2 linked regions of the Oryzias latipes genome follow. The protein of the gene in region 1 binds, or shares a complex with, the protein of each later gene. Links are inferred from orthologs where the notes say so. Each region holds a gene or a part of one and is shown on either strand. Other genes may lie near its edges.

Evidence for each region.
Region 2: ints4 (region 1) and ints12 share a complex: the UniProt entries of both Homo sapiens proteins name them as parts of the integrator complex. The link is inferred for Oryzias latipes from reciprocal best matches to the Homo sapiens genes INTS4 and INTS12.

The regions. Positions count from the first base shown.
Region 1 is NC_019871.2:2,454,450-2,469,729, forward strand, and holds the start of ints4 (integrator complex subunit 4), read left to right. Parts: upstream 1-8,044; 5' UTR 8,045-8,122; coding exon 8,123-8,176; intron 8,177-9,074; coding exon 9,075-9,269; intron 9,270-9,605; coding exon 9,606-9,723; intron 9,724-9,833; coding exon 9,834-9,940; intron 9,941-10,118; coding exon 10,119-10,233; intron 10,234-10,351; coding exon 10,352-10,437; intron 10,438-10,542; coding exon 10,543-10,593; intron 10,594-11,061; coding exon 11,062-11,150; intron 11,151-11,275; coding exon 11,276-11,396; intron 11,397-12,496; coding exon 12,497-12,568; intron 12,569-12,642; coding exon 12,643-12,817; intron 12,818-12,929; coding exon 12,930-13,135; intron 13,136-13,210; coding exon 13,211-13,353; intron 13,354-13,889; coding exon 13,890-14,005; intron 14,006-14,233; coding exon 14,234-14,367; intron 14,368-14,513; coding exon 14,514-14,680; intron 14,681-15,280. Other genes in the region: BTB/POZ domain-containing protein KCTD14, read left to right, coding at 764-1,075; uncharacterized protein LOC105355351, read left to right, coding at 4,438-4,504, 6,157-6,631, 6,935-7,286. UniProt on the Homo sapiens protein: Component of the integrator complex, a multiprotein complex that terminates RNA polymerase II (Pol II) transcription in the promoter-proximal region of genes.
Region 2 is NC_019859.2:15,815,151-15,830,386, reverse strand, and holds ints12 (integrator complex subunit 12), read left to right. Parts: upstream 1-7,843; coding exon 7,844-7,846; exon of another isoform or gene 7,847-7,853; intron 7,854-7,954; exon of another isoform or gene 7,955-8,110; intron 8,111-8,216; exon of another isoform or gene 8,217-8,335; intron 8,336-8,990; coding exon 8,991-9,149; intron 9,150-9,246; coding exon 9,247-9,399; intron 9,400-10,011; coding exon 10,012-10,193; intron 10,194-10,356; coding exon 10,357-10,516; intron 10,517-10,631; coding exon 10,632-10,775; intron 10,776-12,755; coding exon 12,756-13,310; 3' UTR 13,311-13,518; downstream 13,519-15,236. Other genes in the region: gstcd (glutathione S-transferase C-terminal domain-containing protein), read right to left, coding at 2,397-2,663, 5,142-5,594, 7,438-7,845. UniProt on the Homo sapiens protein: Component of the integrator complex, a multiprotein complex that terminates RNA polymerase II (Pol II) transcription in the promoter-proximal region of genes.

The sequences.
Region 1 (15,280 bases):
TGATGAAGCAGGACCTTACTGGAGACTGGAGCCATCCGTGTTTGGAACATCTTCAGCTCTTCTCCTCTGGCTGCTTTGCTGGTTTTCCTCTGTTGGCCTCTTCCATTTGCTCTTTTCAGAAGCACCTTACGTTCCAGCACAATCTTTGCCTCAGGTGTGACGATCATCACGCAGATAAATGTCAAGAAAACTGATTCCTTCCCTGAGTTGGCCTTTAGCTGCCAACCAATGGAAAACCAACCAATGGCCTAGTGGTAGAGTGTCTGACCTGAGACTGGAAAGATCTAGGTTCAAATCCACAGTTAAATCAAACCAAAGACTCTAAAAATGAGGCCTGATGACTCCCTGTTTGACACTCAGCATTTAGGGTTTGGATTGGGGGGTTAAATCACCAAATGGTTCCAAACATGCACCTCACCGCTCCCTCAGGGGACGGTCAAATGAGGAAAACATATTTCTCATACCATAAATGGGGCTTAACCAGGTGTTCCACAGAGGAGACCCGTCTGCAGCTTTAACTAAGAACCAACGTTTCTTTGGGGGTGCTCTGGTGGTGCTCACCGGAGACGACTGCATTGCATAACCTTTCAGCCGCGGCTCCACCTGTGAGAACCTCCTGAGGAGGTTTCTGGCAGAAATCAGCAGGTGCAGCGTGGATCTCCCTGTTTCATCACCTGCACAGACTGGAGGAGAGCAGAAACGATGGAAATCTGCGCCATATGAGCTCAGGTGGTTCTGCATCATCCGATCTCTTGTCCCCCAGGTGCTGATCCGCATCGCCAGAGCCGAGGCCGTCGCCACGCGTCACTCCTCCATCCTGATCTGCGTGCTGCGGACAGACGAGGACCTGGGTTTCCACGACAACGCCATAAACAACCTGGAGGCGGACAAGGACTCGTTAGTGACGTTCGGGCCGTGGAGGGCGACGCCGTCTGTCAAAGACCTGCTGGACTGCGTGAAGATGGACATTGAGCGTCGGGGCTACAGAGTGAGCATCGAGCCTCACGTCACAGGGAGGCTGTTCCTGTCCAGGAGCTACAACTTCTTCTACAAACTCACCTTCACCTGGTGGTGATGAGGCGGTGAGACCAGAAAACACATCGTCCCTTCAGATGAAAGGGGTTATCAAAAGTACAAAGTTTGCCTGTTTTCACTCATGTGGGTGTGAAACTGTGTCTTAAGTTCCTGCAGATATTCTAGCTTTTCGGACGGCTCTTTCCCTCCTGCAGCTTCGCAGCATCTGTCTGTGTAACGTCTGCTGCCGTCACGCCGGCTGAGAGTTTTCACAGCTTTGAGGGGAAATTCTGATTCGGACCGGAGTCCTGCGTCAAACTCTCAATGTTGGCTAATCCAACAACCGCTTGAAGGGAAACTGAAAGGTGCAAGCGGCGAACGCGCTGGATGGCAGGGCCGCTGTGACTTCACCACAATACAAGGTGGAGCACGCCACCACATCCTGTGTGATCAGCACGGGGAAAAACAAGACGGGTCAGCAGAGAGGACAACTGCACCCCTCTGGCTCTGCTCATCCACGATAAAACACGAAAATCAGAATTTCCTCCTTCAGCAGATGCAGCCTGAACTCATTTTTCAATAAAGATTAGGACAAAATAATCCGATTTTTCTCTTTGATTTCATGATCGTCTGTCGAGTTTATCGGTGCAGCACATTTTATTTATGAACACAATTCAAAGGGCTTTACTTAAAACATTAAAATAAACATTTTATAGAAAGATTAAAGGAGGGATCACCAAAATAAATATTTTTAAAATTTCAAAAGAGAAATATTAAAAGTAACAGTGCAGATAAAATCTAATCTAATTCAGCTGAGAACAGGCGGGTCTTTAACCTGGACTTTTGTGTCTCAGCTGATCTAAGGTTTTCTGCTAGTCTATTCCAGATCTGTGGAGCCTAGAAGCTGAATGCAGCTTCTCTATGTTTGGTTTGAACTCTAGCAACTGACAGAAGACCGGATCCATCCAAAGCTTTATAAAACAAGAATCCGAACCTTAAAGTCTTTCCTCTGGCAGACTTGCAGCCAGGGGAAAGACCTCAGATCTGGACTGATGTTTTGGTCTCCCGAGCTGCAGAGTTCTGAATTTGCTGCAGTTTCCCGATTGATGTTCTTGGTTGTCCTGTAAAAACACGGTTACACTTAAGATGAATGCATGAACTAGTTTCTCCAGGTCCTGCTTACAGATCATATCTTTAATCCTGGAAGTATTTTGAAGATGACAGGCGGCTGCTTTAATAGAAATAGGAATATCTTTATTTGTCATTGTACGTCGTACAACAAAAGTACAGTGCAATTTTCCGGTGGAATAAAAAGGTAATTTAAAAAAAACAACAACTAAAACTGCGAATAAGACCATATAAAACACCAGTAGGTTACACCTTCTCCAGCTATTGCGCGCTTCTCTTAATAAATTAACCTTGTTTAGCAGTGTTTAAGGCCACGATGGCTCTTGGATAAAAGCTGTTGTTTAATCTGTTTGTCCTTGTTTTAATTGTCCTGTATCTTCTGCCTGAAGGCAGCAGTTCAAACAGAGAATGTTCAGGGTGTGATGGATCCTGCAGAATGTTCTGAGCCTTTTTTAGCCAGCAGGAACTGTACAGTTTTTCCAGGGATGGAAGAGGGCAGCCGATGATCCTCTGGGCTCTCGTAGTGACTCTCTGGAGAGCTTTCCTAGCTGCAGCTGTGCAACTGGCAAACCAGGCACAGACACAGTGTGTTAAAATACTCTCTATTGCGCTGCGGTAGAGGGACACTAGCAGTTTCTCACTCAGACTCATCATTTGCAGAGATAAGCCCCACCACTGTGGTGTGTAATGTTGTTTATCAAAATGTAGACCTGTCTCATTGACTGTATCGGAGAAGTGGAGTGAGCGAGTGTGATGTCATCCATAGAAAATGGTTTACTTCCGTCTCCAACCAAATGAAGTCAGTTCAGTCGCCTGTTTTTCTTGATATGGACGTCACCATATCTGTTCGGCTCACCATCAACGGTTGGAACGTTGGATGTGGGGGTCAGCAGGCTCCACCTACTTTTAAGGCATCTGATTGGTCAGCTTATAACTTGTATATTATGAACCACAGAAAAAATGAGGATTATCAAGAATATGTTAAAAAAAATCTTATCAGGTCAAGAATGGTTATTCAGACCAAAAGAATGACCGTTTTTTTCTCTATGGGATTTTAGCTTCTTGGAGCCAGCAGGTACTTCCTGTTTGGAACGCCACTCAGTCCAGTTCTCATATACAGTTAATGGTAACAGATCATTTGAGCTTTTGTTTCAGGAGCTTTTCCAGAATCCACTGGTTCCCTGAAATAACTTGTTTTTATTGGATGAAAAAGATAGTGAAGAAAAGTAATCAATTTGATGTGTAATTCCAATAAATTAAAAATGGTGTATCAATTCATGAAAGACATTTACCAAACACGAATATACTACCTACATGGATCAACCTGAAAAAATAATTAATCAGTAAAATAACTGTCATTTCAGTTCATTTAAGTCATCAGTCCTGACTCATCTTTAGCATGGGGGGGGGGGGGGGGGGGGGGGCGTCATATTTGTTGGGAACATAGTCACGAAGCCATTACAGTGCAGATTCAGCACATCTATAAATCACGTCTGTTCTTGGTTTCAGTTTCTGCAGGGTTGGCGTGCGTCACCTAAAAGATTTTCTCTAGATTATTCTTTACTTCACACACTTCTTCATCCATGTTAACAGAACCATGCAGCGCTGCATCAGCATTTCACCGTCACAGTTCCTCTGAGGAAACCTTCATTTTCATGACATCTTGGCAGGATTGTTGTCGTCTCGTTCCTGCTCTTTCTGGACTCTCAGCGTCTTCGAACGTCGGTCGGCCTTCAAGAAAACAAGCAGCTTGTTCAGGAAAATGTCTTTTACGTCGTCTGTCCTCCTGACGTCTGCAGGCCGATGTCTTAAAAGCGCTGAAAGTTGCAGAAATGTTTTTTCACACCTTCATTCTCACCCAAAGAGGAGTGACTCTGATCTTTGATGAGGTGGGTGACCTACAATGAAACTCTCATTTTACTTTGGTGGCAAGAAATATATTTAGAGTTTCATCCTCACTGCACACTTTTGGTTAAACAATTTCCATCTTTTTAGAGATTTAAATGTCAAAACTGTCAATGGTGCTTTTTGAAAGCCATAAAAAGGGACATAACTTAGATTTTTAGTTTGCAGAAGGCTGACAAAAAAAAAAAAGAAATAGAGACGAGTCATGAGAAGCAGAGAAAAGCTGCTGAAAATCTGAAGGTGTTGACATAAAGCGAAACATGAAGACCTTTCTCGTTCTTTTGAAGGTAATTTTGTGTCACTAGAGCAGGAAACGGTCACAGGAGGAAAGTAAAGGTGTCTGCCTGCAGAGCGCACCCGCAGAGCAGATTGAGCTGTGGTGGAGGTGAAATGACAAACATGACAGGTGGAAAACGCCTGAAAAGCCTCCTGCTGCTCCTCAGCCTGCACCTCTCAGGTAAGGCTTCTTCCTTCTCCTCTTCACTCGGTTTGCTCCAGCTGCTCGGCTTTAGACATTATAGGAAAAAGGGATGTCAACATGATGTCTTGGACTTAAAACCTTCTCGAAGCCACGAAGATGAGTTAAAAGTTTCAAGAAAGAAGATTTTAAACTTTAAGAGAATTTCACCTGGAAAATTTTTTTAGATTTACATTCTTATATTGAATTATGCTTCTCCCTTTTATGGAGTTATGTCTTCTATAATAATTTTATTGTGTCATAATGTATGCATTTGTAATTGTCTTGTAATTTTTTTTCGTTATTTATCGTTTGTTTTTTTCATTTTTGTTTTTAGCTTTTTATGTGGATAATTTTAACATCTGTCCGGACACAACAGATGGAAAAAAAAGTCTAAATCTGGCTCCCTGAGAAATAAAACGAAATAAATAAACAATAAACTGATGTAAATAAGATGGCATAGGCAGATTGTAATAGGTATTATTATTTTTTTTTATAGAAATTAAACAAACTTATTCTGTCAAGATGAGGGGAAAGAATCTCAAAAGTTTAGAGGAGATTTAAAGGAAAATGTAAAAGTTTTTATTAAACTCCAAACGAACTTTAGACTCTTGTCAAAACGTCAAACTGGTTCAGCAGAAAGTTTTTGTTCTGGATTATAGCAGAAGTAAAGAGGTTTTTCCGTGCTGACATTCTGATTTGTTTGTTGAAGCTTTAATTACCAAATTAACTTTACAGTTTAATCTGGTTTCCTGGAGTTCATTATGGAATATTTAAATACTCCCCAGTTAACATTAAAAACAGGGAATATGACTTTAAACCCACACATTCTTTCTTTTTAAATCTGTATTTTTCTATTCTTGAACCGCCTTTGTCAGGAAATCTTACACTGCTATTAGTGAATCTGGCCACAGGGGGCGGTATAGTAGCTTCTGTTGTTTTACATCAGGCAGCAGTGGATGCAGTTTACTTTTCAAGAGCAGAGTAGTGTTTTACATTGTAAAGTGACCTTGACTTTCTAGAAAGTCACCTAATAACTACAATATATTAGTAATAATATTAGTAATTCCATAGAAAGCAAAAAAATAGAACTCTATTTTTTATTGTTGCCCTTAGGTCGACGTTTTTTTGGACCAGCAAAGAAAAATATATCTTATTCAAAATTGCATCAAACCTTATAATTAGAGTGGCTACACTTGACAGTAGTAAGGCACATGTCTTATAAAGCTTTATTTCTTTACTTTTAAAATTGTATTATTTATTTTGCACACTGTGTTTGTTGTAAGTGTCATGTCATTTTTTTTACCTTGTTCTATGTGGAGATTATGCTTTAAATGAATTGCTTAGGGGGACTTATAAAGTTTCTATTCTGTCTGTATCTTATTGTGTGGTTGTAGAAGTATTGTTTTTGTTTTTTTATGCTATTTTTAGTTTCATGAACAAAACTTTGTACTGGTATACTACGTTTTTATCCAGAGAGCTACATTTGAAGGCCAGAAATCCACCGAAAAAACCACGTCTGTTTGTTGCGTCTATGTCTCTAATAGTGTAAACCCAAATGATCTGTGTGCAATCAAAATATGCTGGGATGGGTTTTAATGTCACTGAAGATAAATTAATGTAATTAATAAATTAATGTCTGCATGTTCCAGGTGTGAGAAGCGACGACAACACTGTGTTTGTGTACAGCAAAGTTGGGGATGAAGCCCTCTTGTTGTGCTCCATTGCCTCCTCCGACTGCTCCTCCATCACCTGGACCTTCTTCAGGAGCGGTCAGGTGCGTTTCTCCAAGGAGGTGATCCAGGGGCAGGTGAACAGAAGTTCGGAAAAGGCCAGTCGCTTGACTGTCGCCTCCAACTGCTCCCTCATCCTTCGAGATCTTGCCCTGGGGGACGTGGGCTCCTACGTTTGCTTGGAGCATGAGAGGGACGTTACTACGGTCTACCTGTCCATCCTCGCCATCAGCTCTCCCTCCAACATCATGGAGCTCAGGCCGGGGGGGACGGTCGTCCTGAGCTGCATCCTCTCTAGCTACTATGATGCAGGAAACTGCAGGCAGTATTCAGGCGGCAGTTTTAAGCTACGCTGGTTAGCAGAAGAGGGGACAGAAATGGACAATCACAGCAGGTTGGAAAGAAAACATTCTTTTGCTTTTGATACTTTACAACAAAAAAAAATAAACTGAGCATAAACCTGGATTATGTTGAATATTTAAATAAATTAGGGGTGCACATAGACTTTTAGAGCTCAAAGAAAACAAATGTATGGATCCCTGAACTTAAGGAGAACTGAATTTTTATTTCTCAAGTTTTCTTTTTTTGTGTGACTTAAAATTGAAATGAATCAGTTTGATTATCTGCAGAAAAAAAGTAAATCTGTAATTCAGGCTTTGAAATGAGAGTCACAGCTGTGATCGTGCTTCTCCTCCAGGCATCAACTGACTGAAAGAACTCACTGCAACGCCACGCTGGTCCTGAATCTGCAGAAGGAGGACAACGGCAGGAGGTGGAGGTGTCAGGTGGAGACCAAGCCAGGCGAAATAGAGACTCATTGGGACTTCACCTCCTCCTTTTTGTTTGAAAACACCTCCTCCGCCCGTGTTCTGCAGCCTCCTGCTGACGGCTTGTGTTCCGTCCGGCTGCCCATCAGCCGCATTGTGTTGTGTGTGGCTCTGCCGCTCATGGTCGGCATCGTGGGATTGGTCACATGGGTGTCGGATAGAAAGAGGAACAAGATGTTAGCTGCTGCTCTGCAGCATGACACCATGGGAATCAATCACTGACCTTTGAGATGATGTTTCTCCCAATGACACTATTCATTTTCTTCACTCTTAAGCTTTTATTCCTAACTTAACAATCTGCACTTCAGCTTTCATCTGAGTACATTTTACTGTTTTTTTAGTTGTCTAGAAAAAAACTTGATATTTGAATGTAAACAGTGTAAAACTTTACAGGCCCTCATTCTCTCTATAATGGAATCATGTGTTTAAATTTAGAAATTTGTAGATGGTTTCAATATTTTGTTGTTAAATACTACCCCTGTCTTTCTTAAGGTAGCGCGGATTACTGGATTTAACTGTCTTAACTGAAGTGACTTATTTGTTTGAACACATGTTTATACAAGTCAGAGGAAATTTGTAAAAAAATACTTGTTTTTTTTTATCTTTATATGCAAACAATAAAAAATATCATCAGATTTTTGGCTATTAGTGCTTTTATTTTATTGTTCTTCTAAAGTTGCTTTATAAACATTTTGCTATTGTTTTCCAAATTAAAATATTTTATGGTGATTTCAAAGATGTTCTATTTCTTGGCTTGTTCTAAAATATTCATGTTTAATGCACATAATTCATTAATTTATTCGTATTCATTCGTATTAATTAATTTAATTCTAAAGTTAATATTTCTAGACAAGGAGTTATTTTTATAGGCCAAAGAAATATTTTAATATTTTATGAAAAAACTGAAGGGTGTCTTGGACATTCATAGACTGCGGACTACCCTGAGTTCTCCACTCCCGGCTTCCGTAGGAAAACAATGCATTTTCACAGCTACGGAAAGTGTAAGGGGACAATTCTGCGTTTTGAGGAAAGAATTGTCTGTGCGTACCTACTGAAACATGGCAGCACATTTGAAGAAGCGAGTGTACGAGGAATTTTCAAAAGTCGTTCAGGTAAACGTTATAATTGTTTTGTTCGTCAGCTTGTTTTTGTGCGCAAGACCTTAATATGAAGCTAAAAACTGCGCTTTCAAGCTAACAGGACCGTTTGCGCATGCTAACTGATTAGCTGACTGAACAGCAACAGGAACCCGTTGCAGCTTCAACAACTCAACACACATTAGAGTTTGTACATGTTTGGTGACTTCATTTAAGGTCAAGTTGTGGAGCTGACTTTCTTTAATGTCACAAATATTTGGCCAATTGCAGCCTAGCTAAAGTGGTTAGCATCTGATATAGCTATAGCAGTCGTTCAGCGGTGCTTTCAGATGTCCTCGGACTTTTATGTGTTTTCTCCTAAAATTTAACTCTTTTTAAGGCCCATTAACTTGGGAATCAGACGTGGTTCAGATATTGGTGGTCATCTCTATCAGCCAGGTTTTTTCCTGTATGTTCAGGAACTAGTAAGACAGAAATCCATTCTATTCATTAACAACATACCCACATATTCATTAAAACAGATTCTATTTTGATTTAAAATGTTGCAGAAATGTGACTTTATACTTTAACTGGTTGCTCTGTGAATCCTGTTCATGGCTATATGTGAAAAGCTCATCAGATTCAGAGGGGAACTGTTTTTGTTTTTTAAAGTTTTTGAGTATCTTTATAAAGCAGATTTTATGAAAAGAATCTAACTCTTTTTAATTAAATTGTTCTCAGATGTTGAGTAGGAAAGGATGTTTAGGTGGTAATAACACATGTTGAATATATTTTAAAAAATCATAAACATTGATCCTGTCTTTGCATTTTTTGTAATAACCTTTAATCATTTAAATAAAGATTGAAACGTTTTCTATGTTTTTTTTTTTGTTTTTTTTTGCATAAATAATCTTCACTGTCATCGTGTTTTCAGATTCCTCATGAAGAAGCTCCGGCCAAGAAGCTGCGTCTGTCCAAACCCAGCAAGTCTGCTGCGCTGCACGTTGACCTCTGCAAAGCCACCAACTCCACCGACGCGCTGCAGTACCTGCTGCAGTTCGCACGCAAGCCCGTGGAGGCGGAGAGCGTGGAGGGCGTGATCCGGATCCTGCTCGAGCACTACTACAAGGTAAACGATGATAATGATCAGCAACAATGTGATTTTTAGAGCCGCTATGACCCTGAGCAGGATTCCACAAGACAAGATGATGAATGGATGTTGGAGATGTGGGCGGGGCAATGGTCGTTCTTTGGAAAATAGATTTCTAAGATTTAGATTTGAATGTTTATTAGTATAAAATGTGAAAAGAAAGTTCTAGTTGCTTTTAATTTTATAGAGGCGTTACTTTTTATTCTTACTGTAACATTTCAATTGTTTAAATAGTTCTAGATAGTTTCTGAATATTAGAACTCGACACCTTTGTTTGAACCGAGAAATGCGTCACGCCAATGTGTCTCATGTCAGGAAAACGACAACTCTGTGAGGCTGAAGATCGCTTCTCTGCTCGGTCTGCTGTCCAAAACCCGGGGCTTCAGCCCGGACTGCATCTTTGATGACGCCATCAACACCCTCAGCAATGAGAGTGAGACACACTCCATCCCTTTTTATTTTCATCAGACCTCAACTGTCCTCTCTGTCGGCCTTTGTGGCTTCATGTTGCGTTCAAAGACCCTTTACTGTCTCTGTGGACAGACTCCCATCAAGTCCTCGCTCAGCTGTTGGGCACTCTGCTGGTCATCGGGACTCAACTGCCAGAGAGTCCTGCAGTCAGACTGAGGCTGACCGAGGTGGCCTGCAAGGTAGCACACACACAAACACACACTCACGGGCACACAAGCACACGCAAATGCAGATGCACTCACAGACATTTACATATATAAAAAGAACACACACACACACACCGATGCACGCACTCATACTCATGCATTTACATACACACATTCCAGCATCTGATAGTTGTGGTCGTCTCCTCTGCAGCATCTGTCTGATACGCACTTCGGGGTGAGGAACAAATGTCTGCAGCTGCTGGGAGGTCTTGGCGTGGCGGACGCTCCTCTGCTTAAAGACGGCGAGGGATCGAGCTCGTCTTCAGGTCTGAATGTCTTAAAGAGGAAACTCTGCAGGCTGTTCAGAGCTTTTCTTCTGAAGCATAACATGACAGCCGTTTGGGTCAGGATGGGTTCTTATTATGCCTTTGACTTGAACAACAGGAGCTGTGAGAGAAGTTCAGACCATCATCAGCGATTACTTCGCAGACCAGGACCCCAGAGTCCGCACCGCAGCCCTGAAGGCCATGGTAGGTCACAGCGGAGCATCTTTACCTGCCAAAAACCTCCACACCGGACGCTGAACAAAGATCCCACGAAGTGCATAACTAATCTGAAGACTTTGTTTGTTTCAGCTGCAGCTTCACGAGAGAGGAATGAAGATCCATCAGATCATCTATGAGCAGGTAGGAGCTCAGGTTTATAGTTTTCACATTTAGGTCAGATTCTGAGGGATTTGATGCTTTGGAACAGAAAACATGGAATCAGTGAAGAGATTTCAGATTACTAGGTTTCACTCACAGCTGAAAAATATGTTTATTTCTTTATTTAACAACTAGTTTTAAGATACTAATTATTTTTTAAGTGTTGCACCTTTCCAGCCAGTCAGAGGCCGGGCCCATATAAAAACATATGTAGTTCAAAGACGTAGGGGTTTTTGATTTATTTATTTTTTTACCTGGGTGTATTTAGTAAATTGGGTTCAAGGTAAAAGTGCTTTTATTTTGAAAAAAACTCAAAAGGTCCAGGCTGTTTTGGTTTTGATTAAAATGCCGCCACGAGCACAGCATCCTGAGGATTTTCTTCAGCTCTTGACGTGAGCCCGGGTGAAGGTCTGAGGAGGAGCTGACCCGTGTTCCTGGTGTTTCCTGCAGGCCTGCAGACTTCTGTCGGATGATTACGAGCAGGTTCGCTCTGCAGCGGTGCAGATGGTTTGGGTTCTCAGTCAGCTGTATCCAGAAAGGTGAAGTTTCCAATTTAAATCCACATCATGTAGGGAAAAAAAACAAGAAAACGCAGGATTTACTCCTCAGTCGGAAGTTCCTCTCTCTTCAGCTGTCTGACTCCTCCTGCTTTCTGTCCAATCAGCATCGTGCCCATCCCATCGTCCAATGAGGAGATCCGGTTGGTTGATGATGCGTTTGGAAAGATCAGTCACATGGTCAGTGATGGTTCCTGGACGGTTCGGGTGCAGGCCGCCAAAACTCTGGTAAAACGAAACATTTGTGATTTGCTTTTAAAATTATTTTTCCTGAAGAGAAATGTTTAAGACAGTAATTCAATCACATTTTGATTACTTTCAAGAAAAAAAAAAGATTTATTTCTTTTCTCCCACTGTCTTTGAACGCAACCATTCAATCAACAATATCCCTTCAAGAAAAATTAAAAAGGTTTTTAATTCAGACCAAAATATGGAAAAAAAGAAATAAAATGCTGAGTGACAGCCAGAATAACTAAAGAAACTAAAAATACATTTATCTATAAACTACTGTTTTAATTGCTTTAGGAAAACTATAAACCAAAATAGTTTTTTGTTTTCAAAAACTCTGAATGTTTCACCACACAAAAATCCTAAAAGCCTCTGTGTAAGTGCCATATGTGAGGTCCCGCCCTGATAGGTTTATTGGAAACCTACACTCTGCGTGTGTCTGCATCTCTACAGACGATAAAAAGATGATCCAGATAACAAGAGATTTTAGCATCTGTGGTGTTTCTGCCTTACAACAATCTGACACAAAACCCTTCTTAAAGACCCACAAGAAAAATGTGTTCATGGTCATTTATAAAGAAAATGACGCTTTAAATAGCATTTCTGAGTATTTCTTTCTTCAAATTGTTGTGAATCCAGAGCAGACTCACGTGAATTTCTAATAAACTCCTACAGAAACTATGTTCTGACAAAACCATTTTGATTTTGGCTCAAAAACAGCATCATCGTAATATAAAAGACCACCGGGAACTCTTTGAAAATAGATCAACAGATGATCCAAGAAGGATTTTAATCATTTAAATTTCAGGTTTTCTCCAGATGTTTCTTAAAGAGATGGACATGGTGACTCAGAGTCTCTGTGGACTAGAGAACCCAGATCGTTTTGTTAAACTGAATGATATATATTGTTTCTTTCATAGGGATTCTAAGTCCAGGCTTCATTAAACACTCTTGTGCTCTTCTATTAATATGCTCACATCTTAACCAAATATTCCAAAGATGAATAAAAAAATCAGAGGAACTTTATTTTCATTCGTTACTTTGTTGGATGAGTGTTTTTATGGTGGAAAGTCTTCATCGGCTGTTGTCTGGCGTTTCAGGGCTCAATGCTGCAGGTCAGTCCTCACTTCCTGGAGCAGACTCTGGATAAGAAGCTGATGTCAGACCTCCGGGTGAGTGGTCGAAGCCTTTTTCTGCTGGGATCTGCTCAAACGCTCGGTGCATTGGAAAACCTGTTTGTGTTCAGAGAAAGAGGACGGCCCACGAACGGGCCAAAGAGCTTTTTGCCTCAGGAGAGTTCTCCTCCGGCAGGAAGTGGGCCGACGACGCCCCGAAGGAGAAACTGGACACCAACACGGTCAGCCTGATCGCCTCGGGGGCCTGCGGCGCCTTCGTTCACGGTCTGGAGGACGAGATGTTTGGTGCGAGAAACAACTTTCTCTCAAAATGAGCTTCTACGCTGCTGTCCTCCTTCAAACCAGCTGAGTTTCCGTCATCTTTGTGCCTCTCCGGTTTCTCCGTTTGAATGCTCAGAGGTGCGCATCGCGGCGGTGGAGGCGCTGTGCCAGCTGGCTTGCTCTTCACCCAGCTTTGCTGAAAAGTGCCTGGACTTCCTGGTGGACATGTTCAACGACGAAATCGAGGAAGTGCGGCTGCAGTCCATCCACGTGCTCAGGGAGATCTCCACCCACATCACCCTCAGAGAGGACCAGCTGGACACCGTCCTCGCTGTCCTGGAGGTAAACCCGAACCGCCGACGCCACGGTCCAGAATCACTGAAGGTCATGTGGTGAAGGGAATCTCTCTCTGTCCAGGATTCATCCAGAGACATCAGAGAAGCTCTCCACGAGTTGCTTTGTTACACCAACGTGTCCACCAAAGAGTGCATCCAATTGGCTCTGCTGGAGCTGCTGAAGAACCTCAACAAGTACCCGACCGACCGCAACTCCGTCTGGAAGTAAGAACTCGTTTACGCTCCGTTTCCCATCCCTCAGAGCCCAGATCTTCAGTTCTGAAGGCAAACTTCAGCGATTCTGTCTGCTTTTTGCTCCGAGACCAGAGCAAACATCCTGCTGGTTTTTCTGAGGCGTTTTCATTTTTTGAAAATAATTACAGATCCTGCTGGAAACAGAAGAAGAGTTCTGTCCTAATGGGAGGTTTGATTTTTGATTTGATTTGAAATGGTTTATTTCAAGCAATCAAAGCAAGAATAATGCACAGAACATCTACAATCAGCGCTTATACATTCATACAAAGACGTATCAAACTTAGGATAATGTTATTAAAAAGTCTCTATTGTGTGAAGACAAACTTGAGTAAATCTAAACGTCTTTGAATGCCAACTTTCTCTCCTCTGTGATTTTTCACCATATTTACGCTGATAAATTCTGTCGAAACGGTTACTTTAGCTTCCAAAATATCAGAGGTTTTCTGAAACCATTTTTGGTCAAACTGCTTTAGAAACCGCTTGTGGTTTTTCTTTCTTCTGCTCAGGTGTTTGAAGTTTCTGGGCTCTCGTCACCCGACGCTGGTGCTGCCGCTGGTTCCTGAGCTGCTCAGCACTCATCCGTACTTCGACACGCCGGAGCCCGACATGGACGACCCGGCCTGTATCCTTGGCCGAGCGCAGTCGCCGTCTGCAGACAGCAGAACGGCTGAAGCCGTCCCAGCTCTGATCAAACACTCATTTATTCAAAACCCACTAGAATGATGAATTAACACATTAAAAACGGATTTTCTCCTCTTTTATTTTTCAAACCGGCTCCTCCGGGTGTTGTAGCTTGTTGGTGGAGGTGACGTTTTTCTCTGTTCCTTTTCTTCACTCCTGCTGATCCCAGACATTGCGGTTCTGGTTTTGGTTTTCAACGCCGCCAAGTCGTGTCCGACCATGCCAGCGCTGTTCTCTGACCACACCTTCAGGCACTACGCCTACCTGAGGGACAGCCTGTCCCACCTAGTTCCTCCTCTCAGGGTGAGGGCTTCCTTTCATGTCCTCCATGACAGAAGATGCAGGAAATTTAAAAACGTTTCCAAAAGGAATTGAAGAAATTGAAGTGTGTATAAACGGTGAACGATCTGGTTCAACGCTGACCCCCTTGTAACTGTTTCCCGCTTCAGCTGCCAGGCAGGAAGCAGGTCTACAGTCTGGACTCCGTGGACTCGGATGCTGGTTCTGGTTCTGTGGAGTCGGCCCAACTCTTCCTCCAGCAGAGCCTTCACAGAGTCAGTACCATCCAAAACCTGGAAACCCCTGGAGGTCAGGACCTGCTGGACTTCACCATACGGTAGGGACAAACACAGGATGTCCTTCACACACAGGAAGTCCTTCACACACAGGAAGTCCTTCACACGCAGGAAGTCCTTCACACGCAGGAAGTCCTTCACACACAGGAAGTCCTTCACACGCAGGAAGTCCTTCACACACAGGAAGTCCTTCACACACAGGAAGTCCTTCACACGCAGGAAGTCCTTCACACACTGGAAGTCCTTCACACACTGGAAGTCCTTCACACACAGGAAGTACTTTTAGAGCCTGCAGCCGTTTGGAGCGTAAACTTCTGAAGAATCTGTGCAGCTGGAATCACAGGAACGCCAAGCTTCTAGGAGATGATCTGGCACTTTACCTTTAACGTGTCTGTGATTTTAAATCTTTACAAGTACATAGATGGTTTTATCGCATGCCGAGTCCTTTGAGCAAATGTAGAGCCACAGGAGCTCCTCAGGGCTCAGTGTTGGGCCTCCTTCTGTTGCATAAACCACCAACCAGCAGGAGATGACTGTGTCCTTCAATTCACAGATTCACGACCAAAGTCAAAAATTGCAGAAAAACCACCCACCATGACAAAGATTTCAACATTTACAGCTGTTGTTCTCCAAATATTCCT
Region 2 (15,236 bases), on another chromosome or scaffold:
TAACAGAAAGTGCCCTTTTTTGGTTTGTTTTAGCAGCATTGGAGCAGAGTGGACCAAAATGGTTTGTCCTGTGTCATGTTGTTCTTCTGGCCTTGCTGGTATTAACCCGTGTGCTATCCTAGGCACTTTAACATTGGGAGTGAGGTCATCTGGACCCCATAAGACAGCACAAGGGATGCAAAAACACTATTTGCTTTTGCAGCTGGGGCCTGATTCAGACAAGCTGAAGTCACCAATTTAAAAACTACATCCATCAAAATATATAAAGGAAGAAAGATTTCTTTATTTAAGTTGAAGTTTCAGTGTTGCTCTAGTGTCATATCCCACCAGATCCCACCAAAACAGACTGTGGCGAAACCAGTTTCCTAAACAATAGCTTCCCGATGAGACCAATTATTTGAACAAAAAGTAAAATTTGGACTCACTTTTTACTTAACTAACCCTAGAAACTTGGCAACTCTCCTTTCTGTCCATAACTTTGCAGTGCTGGGGGCAAACTTTATTTGCATTTGGATCACAGGCTGTGCCTCTACAGCTCATTGCACATGGCAGTTTGACTCGCATGCATCACCGTGCCTCAACTCAAGTGGGAAAATGAGAAAGTGAGAAGGTTTATGAGCCATTTATATAGTGGATAACGGCAAGATGGGATCAGTGCCTCTGGTCAGTGAAGGACTGGTTGTCATCCACCTCTTCCTCCTGTGCATCTCCCCTGCACACAAAGCTGTATACGAGGGTGCTTGTGCACAGCAGCCCATTGGCTAAGACAACACAACAGCTGCACTCAAGACATAATGTTGGCGACGTGCAGCCATCGCTCTAATCCCTTAAGGAGAGAGGAAGAATGGTGGCCATTGTGCCAGTGGCTGCGTGTGCGCACATTCCTCTCGGTTTTAATGTCAGATTTCAATTTCTACCCACCATGAAAACTGTCATTTGTACACATCTGGGCTTCGACTGAAATTTCATCCAACAACCCCGGCAAACGTGAGACACTTCCCGTCCTGCTCAGCCAGTTCCCCGCGTTTTCCAAACTCTAAAGCCCTCTATTACCGTTTTCTCTCTTTCCATGACCTTATACCACCTCGTCTAAGAAATCTAGCCAGCTGGAAATCAAAGGAATGTCTTCACAGGGAGAGAATGAAGGCCAAGCAAACAGTTGTGAGAGGTTAGTCAAAGTTGACGAGAGAGTCTCTCCCTGAATAACTGCTCCGGCTTATCTCTCGTTGCAATACCTGGCTCAAAAATGGCAGAGGTGCTATCTGGGGAGCTCTGAAACTACAAATGCATGTGACTGTGTCATTGTCTTATCAATGCATCCAGAGGGAAATGCAGCTTAAGATCAGGTAGTGGATTGTGCTTGCTTCTCTGTCTCCCTTTCACTTAAAGATTTTTAGTCATTTCAAGGCATTTCTTGGATTGACTATAAACTTTGGAGTATTTCGGAATGGATTTATCTTTTCTTTGTTGCACCTGAGAGAAGGATCAGCTGAATACAGTGGCAAGTGGCTCTGGGATCCGGTGGGAATGATGTGCAAACGTGCATTTTAAAAAGCGCAGTACGAGGCTGTTGTAAACTTTGTTTTTCTTTAAAAAGAAAGGTCAGTGTTTCATTACTTTGTCTTTCCCGGTATTATATTATTATCAGAAACAACCAAAAATAAGTAGATTGTCTCACAACTCACTTAAACAGAGAGACTTGAATGTTGTTTTATGGAATCAAGGAAAATTCTAACTGGAGAACAACAATCAAAAATTCAGACATTGTAGATTTTATCTAGCAAACACTTTCTGAAGGCATTAGGGTAAAACCTTTGAATGTATGTGAGAACTGGACTGAGGGCCCCCTGCCCCCCATGGCATACTAAACAGGAAGTACCCGCATAGACTTCTCCTGAGTAATAAACAGATGTGACTCACTCAGTTATTCTGTCAGAATAACCATTCTTGTTCTCACACTTTTTTTATTTTCATATTTTTTCTGTAGTGCAAGTTATTCAAGCAGGTGGTCTCACATTGAACGTTTGAAACATTTGATTGACAGATTCTCCAGAGCCTGCTTTCAAGTGGAAGGGGTGTGGCCTTCCAACAAGCTCACTCCTGATTGGTGAGAGCAGTATTTTCCAATATGGATTATGATTGCTTTATTTCATTTTGAAATGATTTTGTAATGGTACAGGTCGATTGACTACACAACTTGCCTCAGACAAATCAACCTGGTTGGATCTTAGGAATATAAATCGATTAATCGCTACACTCCAAAGAGAAACAATGATTAAGACCGTTTTTGACCAACCACTACTTAGTCATTTTCTGTGGGTAACGTCCCACTCACTTAATCCAGTTCTCATATAGAGTCAATGGGTTGAATAGGTAAAAAGAAAGTAAAGCTTTACTTTAAGTTTGGTCATCGTTGGCCGGGGGCCCCCGACGAACGGAAGTGGCGTGGTCGTCTCCTGACTTCCCTCTTCCTCCAGCAGGGTCGCTGAAGGATGGGCTGACGGCCATGGAGGGCAAGTCGTGGCAACTTGGAGGGTGGACAGATGAAGCCCACAGTCTTTTGCTGCCCGCATGACACCGGGCACCTCTTGAACACGGTTGTACCAACGGAGCAGGTTGGGAAGCTGCTGCAGAGCGCTGGGGGCACTGGCTTGAAGGGAACACTTCGAGATAAGCAGAGCAAATGAAAATGAGGGGAGGGAGAACACAAGCAGAGTATTGATTAGATGATTCGGACCAACGCGTTATAAATGTCAGGTTTAACAAGCGATTGCTAGTCAAACCGGGGCTCTGCATAGAAACCTAAGACAAACAAAGCTGTGATCACGGATAAAGAAGACAGCCACAGGAGACAGCGTGGGATGTGTGTTGTGGACAGAGAAAACACGCTAAGCTGAGTATGAAACTGGAAACCACTGGAGCACAGCTGACTGCTAAAAGCCTCACTGTGAGAACATCAGTTAAATCCCAACATCTGAGGAACAGACTGAGACAGTTGAGAGGTGAAACTGAGGCTGGAGACTCACTAAAGCATTCCAGAACGACATAGAACAGGTCCAACAAGAGCTATCAGCACAGGCAAGATGAAAACATGGAGGTGCAAATGGTTTTCCAAAGAAATGTAAAAGGAAATACTTTTACTGCTAATTATCCAGTAAAATCAAAAACACAAACAGAACATTTGCTCCTGTGACATTCTTGTGCTTAATGTTCAGTTTTCAGATTTGAAAGGGAAAAAAAGCTTCTTTTTTTCCATCTAAATATTGAAAAATACTCATATTTTTTTTGTTTGTTAAATAAAACTTTAAGGCATTTTTAATAATACGGGGTTCACAAAAGGGAAGAATTTGAGATGTGTTAAGAAAAAACATGCTATATAGATCATTTTGAGGCACAAACAGATAGTTAATCATAGGAATAACATGCTTGTTAAGTAGGAACCTATTCAAAGTACAAACTAAATGAAAATAAAAGGCAGTTTCAATTTTTTTTTTTGCAGGTTAGAGTTTATTAACAATAAAATAGAAAAGTGAAATCTTAGAAAAATGGACGGAGAAACTGGTTAAATTTGGGAATAGAGTAAACCCTGCACACCCAAGTGGTGATTTAAGGGCAGCTGCCAAAAGGACACAACTATGAACGCACAAAGCTGCAAGACTCATTTTTGCTGAAACTTTCACAGCTAAGGCACAGTCTTTTAGCAGTAATGCTCCCTAAAAAGACTGAACCAAAAACCCAAGCTTTTAGGGAATGCATGTAATCTTCTAAGAAAGCAACAATGCAAAAATCTGGATTTAACCAAGCAATGCAGTTTGAAGTTTATCATGGCATGCCAGAAAAACAGGTATGAATGAAACATTTGTTAGCTTACCAGAACAAAAGTGTGGAATAAAAACGGGGAAAAAATGAATAAAGAACTCTAGATAAAATGTACTAATCTAAGTCTTGCTAAAAGCTCTAAATGTGAAGGAAGCACCAAAAGGCTGCAGGACGTATACGTCTAACTGTTATAGGGATAATCATCACTACAGTAATGTTTTAATTTACTGCTGCAGAAATTATAATCCATACCATTCATACATAGTGGTAAGTTTTTTTTTGTTTAGTTTTGAATAACAATGTTGGTCAAAATACCACAATCAAATATTTTGGCTCCAGCGAGACCCATTCCTTTTGTGGGGTATTAGAAACACCTGGAGGTGCTTTAGGGCAAACATGTTCAGTTACTGACAGACTCATGGGAATGCCTGAGAGGAGAGTATTTTTACAAATCAACAAGTATTTTATATCTGTAGACATTCCATTAAACTTCTATAACTCTTTAAAATTGCTCAATCTTTTTCTTTCTCCAAAGAGCTAATTAAGTATTTTGTTAAATTGTTTTTTTCAAGCTTCAACCACTGCTGCTCCTTTTGAAAGCACTTTAATGCTGTTAAATTAGTTCCTACTGTCAAATGAGCGGCACTCATTTTTAGTATTCGCACTCGAATCTGATTCAACTTTAGGTCAATAAAAAAAACCAAAGTGTTTCGATTCTGCAAAAAAAAAAAAAAAAAAAAGTTCCCAAATGAAATGCATTTTAACCTCCCTAATGTGCGACCCTTTCGCACGCTGTTATCAGGCTCTGCCAGATGGCTCCGGACCACCTGTGAGAGCAAACAGGTGCCAAGTCCTCTTTACTCAAGTTTCTGCTTGAATGCACCTGACAGGAGTCTGCTCACCCTGACCGGAGTGCTAAAACCATACGTCATGCATAATTTGACAAGTTATCACAATAAAAGTCTCAGCAAGCCAGTTAAAACTTGCAACTTCACTTTTCAAACAGAGAGGTGCATAATGGGAAGTAAGGCCCTGCAAGGGTTCACGTAGGGAGACCAAATATGAATAATGACCCTCACCAACGGCTCGGGACGAAATAATGTCCTCAAAGGTTTTTGAAGAAAAACGTGTCAAGTCTAGCGAAGGTTTAAGGTTTATGCAGTAATAACAAAATGAAATGATCATTTAGAGTGTCTTTATGGATCATAAAGCAGAGGAATCCTTGAAAAATGGAAAGACTGGCGTCCTTAAGCATGAGGGCTCACTTATCACGGCACTCTGAATAAGTCACACTGCTCAATGATCCGGTGCAAATCCCTTACCAGATACTGATGAATACATGGCAAGAGCACCACATCAGTCAGAGTGAAATACAGCCCTTCAGCGAACACGTGCTCCAGTGGCGGCAGCTCGCTGGTCTTCACTTTCCTGATCTCAGAGTTCTCCCTGGTGGTTACCGCCGGTACTGACACCACAGAGAGCTTAGCCAAAGCTGCCCTCAGCTCCAGCTCGTCAGAAACCTGTGGCGGACGTCCTGGAGACGGCTCCTTGTTCGCCTGGCCTCCAACAGGCTCCAGCTTCTCCCTGCGTTTCTGCTCTTGGAGCTTCTGCCTCCGGATTTTGTCGTCGTTGTGGACTTTGACGGGTTCTGCTAGCCGGCTCTCCAGGGTGAGAACAGGGAGAGGCAGCTGCTTCCCCACATCTCCTGGGTTATGGAGGTGTTCCTCCACAGCAGAAGGAATGCCTATTTCACACAGTCTGGTCCACTTGCTCACCTGCAGGGGGAAAGAGATACAGAACTTTACTCAACACCTATATGACGCTTTGGACAGTTTTGGCCGATTTCAAAATAAAATTCCCTGAGAAAAAATGATCAAAAGAGCTTTTAACAGCTCTTTAAAAAAATGCTTGTGACCGAAGCTTAAAGTATAATTTCAACAAAATGTTACTTTTTTGTAGTGTATCATATGACAGCAAGATGGCAACTAAATATACAGTCAGGACCATAAATATTTGGACAGAGACACATTCTTTCTAATTTTGTTTCTCTACATTACCACAGTGAATTTTAAATATAACAGCTCAGATGCCATTGAAGTGCAGACTTTCAGCTTTTATTCCATGGGTTGAACAAAAAGATTGCATAAAAATGTGAAAAACTAAAGCATTTTTTAAAGGCAATCCCTTCATTTCATGGGCTCCTGGACAAATGAAATAACTGAAAACAAAATGGTCATTACTAATATTTGGTTGGAAACTCTTTGTTGGCTATGACAGCCTGAAGTCTTGAACTCATGGACATCACCAGATGCTGGGTTTTCTGCTTCTGAATGCTCTGCCAGGCCTTTACTGCAGTGGCTTTCTGTTGCTGTTTCTTTGTGGGCCTTTCTGTCTGAAGTTTAGTCTGCAACAAGTGAAATGCATGCCGAGCAAAGACCTATCTAGCCTTCTTCCTATTCTTAAGGCTTATGACTTGTATCTTGCAGTGTACCCTCTGGATCTACTTTCATACATTCTTCTTTTTATGGCAGACTTGGATATTGATACGCCTACCTCCTGGAGAGTGTTGTTCACTTGGTTGGCAGTTGTGAACAGGTTCCTCTTCACCATGGAAATGATTTTGCCATCATCCACCACTGTTGTCTTCCGTGGACGTCCAGGTCTTTTTGCGTTGCTGAGTTCACCAGTGCTTTCTTTCTTTCTCAGGATGTACCACACTGTTGATTTTGCCACTCCTAATACTGTAGCAATTTCTGGCATGGTTTTTTTCTGTTTTCTCAGCTTAATGATGGCTCCTTTCACCTGCATGGAGAGCTCCTTTGACTGCATGTTGTCTGTTCACAGCAAAATCTTCCAAATGCAAGCACGAGTCCTCTAATCAACTCCAGGCAGAAACAAAATTAGAAAGAATGTGTCTCTGTCCAAATATTTATGGTCCTGACTGTATATGTAGATGCAGTTTGGTCTGGGTCATCTTGTACTGCTAGCAACAAATCCTGCCTTTAGGTGTTCAATGATGGAGTCAATTTGACAAGACTGTAGGTATCTTTTTTTACTGCCATCACATGTGTGTTGCCCACTGTAATGGCACTCTGTCAGTTTTTATGTTATAGTAAAATACACCCACAAGGCCTCAATCCAAATGGGACTTTCCAATATTGATAATAATCAATTTATTTCATTTTGAAATGATTTCATAGGTCGATTCAATTAACAGCTTGCGTCAGAAAGATCTGGTTGGATCATAGGAATAAAATTCGATTTTAGTCAATTAATCATTACATCCATAATTTGTTGGCAAGGTGCACCACCTGTCACCGGGGGGAAATGTCTGATAATTAATGTTGCTGTTTTTCTGTAACATATGGCAACATTGACCTGAAACTGTAAGATGATACTTGGTGTTGTGTTGGGGGGGTGTCATTTTTGTGGCATCTTTTTGCCTACAAACACAACAGCTGTTCCTTTCATGTAAAACTGCATAACTTTGATGCCCTTTAATGCAAAGCATCACGGTCTTTTCATATTTTCAAAACACACATAAAGACTTTTTGTGTTTTTCCATCCTGACAACCAAAACAAACCTACAGAGACGTGATAGAGTGTAATTGCACCAACCTCTGCACAGGCTTTTAAGCAGGTCTTTTTGAAGCCCAGCAGAGCTGCTACATCCTTCCTGGAAGGGTCAGCCTCGATGCTCTTGTCGATGATGTGTCTGAGGACCACCGCCAGTCCGGCCCTGCAGATCTGCGCGCTCTCATCCAGAGCAGCGGGGAGGCGGCAGCTGCTCACCAGTTTGGGCAGCTCGTCCACCTGGACGTCTGAGAGACTTGCAGATGCTGGAAGCTGGCTCTTCAGAGGCTCGGAGCTGCTGCTGTCGCCAAGGACGAGAAACACTCTGAAAGACTCGCAGTCGCAGTAAGACAGCAGAAACAGAACTATAGAAGAGTGCAGGGGAAGACGCAGCTGCTCGTTTTGGCTGCAAACTTCTAAGTAGAGGCACGGGGGTTGTTCGGCGTGTGTCATGGTAAATGCTGTGAATGGGAGAAATATGTTTAAGTATTTTTTATTATCACTATTTGTCTTTTCAACTGCTAATAATGCCATAAAACAGTCAGAAAGAAGTCATACAGACCGGCTACTTTACAAACATCACGTTATCAGCGTGCTGCTTTTTCTTCTTCTACTACGAGTTATTGAGTCGAGTATTGCCACAGCGCCACCAGCTGGTCGTTAAAATATATACATTTTAAATGCATTTATTGATAGAAAGTCGGTTAGAATAAAACTTATTTAAAAATACGAGTGAAAAAACAAAAAACAAATTCGCTTTGCTATTACGTGAAGTATATTTTTTGTTCTACTTGCGCCGCCCACTTAGATTCCGGACACATTTATCGGGTGCACATTGTGAAAGACATAAAACGTCAGCGGCGATTTCCTCTTTGTGGAAAGAGTTCTATTAAACAGAAATATCTACAGCAGAGACCAACATTTTGCAGAAACTGAGTGTGAGGTAGGATTACCCATTTAAAGCTATAGACTGGGGATTTTGACGTGTTGGTGACATTTGGGAAGATAACTTTACCTACGGTGTCGCAGTGATATTGTTCCGTCCATCTGCTACCAACGATTACTTTAAACCCTACCAACTGGATTTGAGCATTGTGGGTTGTTTTTAATAGACACAGGCATCATATTTCTTTATATATTTGTAGTAAATAATGCAGAGGCAGGATTTCTTGTAATAAATACCGCAAATAAGGAAAAATAGCTGGTTAGTCTTAAAAACGTTCCGTTTTTGTGTACCCATTATTAGGCAAAACTCTTAAAAATGAACATTTTTATTGGTTGCTGTATTTTTTGTTAGTTTTGACAGCCTATAGTTCATTGTAAATTGCTTTATTTGATTACAATTGTAATTAGCAAACTATAACTTTGAATAAATATGCTCATCATTGATATTCATTGTTGTAAATGCTCCCAGACGCCTATAAACATGTGTGACTGACTTAATAAATGTTTGTTTTTGTTTTTGTTTTTTATTATAGTTAGTATATTTAATTTGCAATCTAGATAAGATGAAATAGTTTTGTATTGTAGCAAAGTGTACATTTGTAATTTGCAGACGTCAATGAAAACCTAACATTATTCAATCATTTTCTAACTAGGCCATGGCTGGACCTGTCAGCTTGGAGTTGGACCCCCTTTTTTTAAAGGCTCTGGGTTATTTGCACTCCAAGAACAAAGATTCAGCAGAGAAACTCAAAGCTTTACTCGATGAGTCCCTTGCGAGAGGAGGTGACTCCTCCTACCGCTCATTACAAAAAGTAAGATCCGCTTCTTATAAAGATAGTCTTACGCTGTCAGTGATAATTCATTCGTATGGAGCTTATTGCTCCTCTTTTCTGCTGTGTTCATCTTTAGGACTTGGAAATGCCAAAAAGTTCTGTGTCCAAACTGAGCCTGACTAAGCAAGACTCAAAGTCTTTGAGCACTCCATCTTCCAGCAACAGTGGAAGTTCCAAATCCAGTTCAGAGAAGAGCAAGAAAGAAGCAGAGAAGAGGCCATCAGAGAAGGTGGGGGATTAAAAGTGTTGTCACATTATCATGTATGTTTAGATGACACCATGTGCCATGATTGGACTGTACTCATTAATTCTCTTCAGGATTTACATTGATTCCAATTAAAGCTGCAACAATTGTCAATCATTAGAATTTAGGAATAAAGCCCTGAAGAGACATAAAATATTGACAAATGCAAAAAGAAATGACAACACTCAAAAAAAAAATGTTTGGAATAAAATTTGAGACTTTTTTTTAACACCAGAAAAAGGATGCCTGATCAGGGAAAGAGAAAAAGAAAACATACATGGGTCATTATTTTAACATATCAGCAACTTAAAGGTTGTTTTTTTTTATGAATAATCGAAGTCTTGATTTATGGCTTTCCTGGGTCTTGTAATTGAATATTATTACTTTATTTTATGAACTAAATGATGCCACAGCGAGATGAACAAGTCCATTTCTAACAAACATGTACATCCTTAGTTTAAAATAATAATAATAGACATTGCTTGGGACTTTCTTCTCAATCTGTGGTTATTTTAAGCATAACAGCTTGTGTGATTGAACACCAATGTTGGTATGAATTTTCAAATTTCATACGTTCTCTGTCTCATTGACAAATAGATACGGGTGGAGTTGTCTGAAGTGGATCCTCCAAAAAAGTCCCGCTTGGAGAAACCGGACAATCGCTCGTCCCCTATAACTGTTCAGACGAGCAAGGACCTCATGCCCAACATACACGACTACGATGAAACTAATGCTGACGACTTTGCCATGGAAATGGGACTGGCTTGTGTGGTTTGCAGGTGCTTGTTAATTATCAAATGAAATGAAATGAAACTTTGAGTTTCTTTGTTATTTGCACATTTTTCTGGTTTGTGGATCCAGTTTCTCTTTCTACAACGTGCGAGTTGGTATGAAATTCTCTTCACTCAACTGTTTTTGCGTCTGCGTTTCTCTGAACTGTAGACAAATGACGGTGACCATGGGAAACCAGTTGGTGGAGTGTCAGGAGTGTCATAATCTGTACCACCAGGACTGCCACAAGCCCCAAGTGACAGACAAAGAGGTCAACGACCCCCGCCTTGTGTGGTACTGTGCTCGTTGTACCAGGCAAATGAAACGCATGGTGAGAGCTGTTCCTGTGCTCGGGTATTGACTCTTATAGTGATCAGCTGGGAGTCATGGCAACAGGACCAACAGTCTTCATTAAAGCTAATGATTTTTGTGTGTGTGTTCTCAAGGCGCAGAAACCTCCACAAAAACCGTCTCCTGCATCTGCATCATCAGTGCCTGTGGTGAAAGACACGCTGGTGAAGAAAACGGAGGGCAAGCTTAAGATTGACACAGCCAACACCTTCCAAGCCTTCAAAAGGACAGAGGTGAAGGTACGTGGTGACTTTTGTCGTCTAGACCTGTGGTCTCCAACCCCCCGGGCCGCAGACAGAAAAAAAAATGTATACACTAACTTCGATCATTTCTGTTTTGTTTATCACGATCTTTTATTATCTTTATGCAGTGCACAATGAAATTGTTTTCAGCAGCTCTTTTTCAATGAATAATTGCACATAGAAAAATAAATGTGCAGCCAGAGCGTTGTCAACAGAGTAGTGTATTTTCTGATACTAAAGAGAGTTTTATTTTGAAAAACTACCGGATTTTGTTTACCACATCCGTCCGTCTTAACGCGTCTCGTGACTTTAAGCATCTGCTCGGAACCTCGCAAGGCAAAGTTGGTTGCTCAACGCTTAAAGGCAAATCAAAACCAAACAATAAAACGTATTTGAAAAGTTTCTTTGGGGAGAGAAGAGTTAGTGTGGAAACAGAGGAAGAACATTTGACTTCAAAGGAAAATAAAGCTGCTATATGCAGACAAAATCAGGAGTCGTTCTTTAAATATGGATTTATTGAGATTCCCATGAACCAGAAGCTGCTCGCTTGTCTGATATGAAGTGACTGACATTTGAATGTTTCACTCATCCCGATAATGACGTTGCAAACGTGATGAACTCATGTTTATTATTTAGAAAATAAGTGAGTTGTGTCATTTATTTTGCTTTATTTATCCTTCTCATCTTAAAAGCCGGACGTGCCTGAAGTGAGCGTCTGGTTGTTAGCCCCCACTTTGACATTAAAGGGAAAATCTTCATCACAAAGTTTAAATTTAAACTATCCACAAACAATTTACAGGGAATGATTGTGTCAATCAAATAAAGTTTCGATTCGTGGAAACTTGTAAAGGGGACATTTTCTACAGCAAGGGAGAATTAATAAACATAAGAGCAGAGAAAATGTTTCTCTGTGTTCAAAAATACACAGTGAATCTGAATTTATGTAAAAACAAAATATGATCAGTCTTTTTGCCCTGAAAGATGATCTCAGACTGAGTTGAGTTATTTATTATAATGGTTTTCTATGTAAAAGAAGAAGAAAAAAACTATAAATTTGCTTTCATTGAATTATTTACAAATAAACAACTTTGACTCACTGAATCTTTGTCATATGTTAAAAAATAAAATTAAAAAAATCTGCTAATGGTCTCTGATTTTTTTTTTTTTTTTTTTTACAAAATTTCTTGTTATAGTATTTTATTTGAAAAAATAGGGTGTTCAGAAACCAGAAGCTTTAAAAAGATTAAACACAAACTTTGCCCGTTCGGACCGTTCCGTGAAAATATAGTCTTGACATTGAACCGGTCTGTGGCGAACCAGCATGTGGAGCTGCACAATATGGCCTTTTTCTATCCATATCTAAATGTAAAAAACTAAAAAAGTACTTGAAAATACCGTGTAAATGTTAAAATTGTAAAAAGAAATTGCAGTGAAGATTTTTCTAAAAATAACGTTTGCATTAGAAGCTTTAAACAGTTTGAACTAAAAACAACGCAGCAGGTCCACCTGAGGTGGCAAAGCACAAAAAAATCTTTAACAACAAAACATGAAATTTTCATCCTCTGGCACAAAAATGTGAATGTAGAAACATATCTCAGACATTTAAAACTGCAGCAGTCACATTAGCAGTTGTGGGGGGGGGGGGGGGAGTTGTTTGTAATACCTATGCAAAAGCATCATGTTTACTTTTTTTTTTCCATTTTCTTTTTTCACATTTCCACGGTAACAAAGTTTAGTCAATAAGAAAAACGCAATTACTCTAGCTGTACTTAAAAACCAAGGATTGGTTTAAAGCAAAGTTGTCTTTTTATTTATTTTTTAAGTTACATATTTAAGATTAATAGAAATGAGACAAGCGTGAAATTGTAAGGGGTTGCTTCTTGGTTTAAAATATTTTTGATGAAATGTGACGAATTTGTGACATCCTTTAGTTTCCTAACTTTGATTCTTTTCTCTTTTTTTTTTTTTGTCACACAGCCACCTGTCACATTGGCGAGTTCCACTATTTCAACATCCTCCTCCTCTAGCAGCGGTCTGACAGGCTGGGCTGCATTTGGCGCCAAAACAAACCCCTCTCTTCCCGCTAGCTCCAAACTAGCTTCCTCTGGCGCGAGCGGGAGCAGCAAGACCTTGACAGCTCCTAGTCAGAAACCTGTCGGGTTGTCAGGGCTCGCTGGAGCCAAGTCAGGACTTGCAGGAGGAAAAGTCGTTGGAAACAACAATGGAAATGGCTCCAGCCAGGTAACTCTCAAGCCTCCTCCACCTCTGACTTTGGGGAAGCAGCCAGTCAGTCGCTCGTCGAGCACAGAAAACCCGGGGAAAGTGTCCTCGCCATCTGGGGCAGGCTCTCCGAGCAACGCCCAAACAGGCTCCAGTGGCAGCAATAATGGAGGAGGTAATGGAAACAACGGTAATGGACATAAAGGCGCTCCAGGAGACAAAGCACCAACCTCTCAAGAATCCCAACTAAACGCCATGAAACGGCTGCAAATGGTCAAGAAGAAAGCAGCACAGAAAAAGATGAAGAAATAAGTGGATGCATAGAGAAAAGATGAAAGGAACATACAGGAAATTAGTGAATTCATTGCCAGAACTTTGCAAAAACTTGAGGAGCTGCACATGGAGCATACTTGAAGCTAACTTTGTAGAAAAATGTCACTTCATCATTAGATCTGATCCCTTAAAAATGCTCCTTTTTACCTATAATGTCATTAAATCTCCTGTTCTTATAAAATTATTGTAGCTGGTGTTTCTTGTGTGGATGCGAGTCAGTATGCCATATAAAATGAACAAAAGTACCACAACAATTTATTCATAAACATCATTTTTTATTTACAATGTCACCTTTTCAACACCAATGATAAAATTCTTCACTTTAAATGCACACAAAATAGTTTCTTAAACCTTCATAGATCGTTGACAAATATACTTCATATATCTTCTTCTATAAATCTTCTCACATATATTGTATTTACTTCATATTTAAATCACTTCATTTTTACTCTAAACAACACTGAAGAACAAAAAGTGCTCAGCAAAAGTGCTGTTTGCTTTTTAATGGAACCGCTCGCTTTTTTTTAACACGTTATTGCTCAAAGGCGTAGGCGAGCTCTTGTGGTTCATTCTCACAAAGACAAAGACTGTGATCAACCATTTCAATACAAAAACATAACTGATTGCATCTGCTTTCAAAAAGTGCTGTTTGACATCAGCAAAGAGTTAAAAAAAGAAACAGTGCTAAAAGAAAATAACATTTCACTTTCCAAACTGTTAAGACTCAGTATTTTGTCAAAATACTTTTGCATGAGGAACTCTTTTATTTAAAATATTTCCCAACTTTTTTATTATAAAAGTAAATAACATTAAGCTTTCTTCTTTTTAGTATAGAGTTTAGCACTTATTTATTTTAGTTCCGAGCTGCATTCGATTTTTTTCGAGACATTTTTTTCTTTTCATGATAACAGGCCAGTTTGGCTTCTGTAGCCTTCCGCACGCTCTAGGGCAGGCATGTCCAAAGTCCGGCACTTGTCCGGCCAAATGCGACCTGTGTTAAAATTCCACCGCCCCGCGGGCTCCTGTCATAAAATCAAAAATATGGGGCTCCCAGCCCTTTCTGAAAAACTGTGCAGACGATTTCTTGAATGTGATTACGTTATAAACCATTGTAAACCTGTGGCAAACACTATAGTGTGACACTTTCTGGCTCATTTCTAAGATGTGAACTGTAAATAAATTTTTTTTTAGAAACGTAAGCTGACAATGAGGCCCACTCCTTTCAAGTGGAAATTTTTCTGTGAAATATAACATCTGTGTCGGCCTAACATGCCAAGAGACTGGCTGTTTTTCAAGGAGTTCAATATCAAGAAGGTTTACGAGACAGAAGATGCTAACTGGTAAAGAACATTGCATGGGCTTTGAAAATGAGATTCACAGCCATTGCTGGCTGATGCAGGCTGCAGGGTCTCACAAACATTCTCCTCATCACATCTAGCCCTCTTTGCAAAAAGTTTTGACACCCCTGAACTTAAAGGTTCCCGGTTGCTAAAGTCCCACATCCTTAGCAACACTCATTCTCAGCGTGATTTATCACATGACACTACCATCATGAAACATGGCCATCCCATCAGGGACGCCCATCATCCAATAATGGAAGAACTCATTGTAATTGGACAACTCAAAAACACAGCTTTAAATATGCATCCCAGAAACATATATGTTATTATATTTGCTGTTTTTTTTAGTAGATGTTCATATTTTTATTCATAAACACTAAGAGAGAAAAAACAGACTTTAGTCAGAAATCCTACTTCAAGGGTTCATCCTCACTGAAAGCTGTCTGGACCGTCACTTTCATATTTTAATGTGAAATTGTAAGAATTTGCAAAGATTCAGTGATGTCTTCACAAGAGAGAAGATCAAAAGGACAGATTGAAACGATCTTCATCCCCTTCAGACATG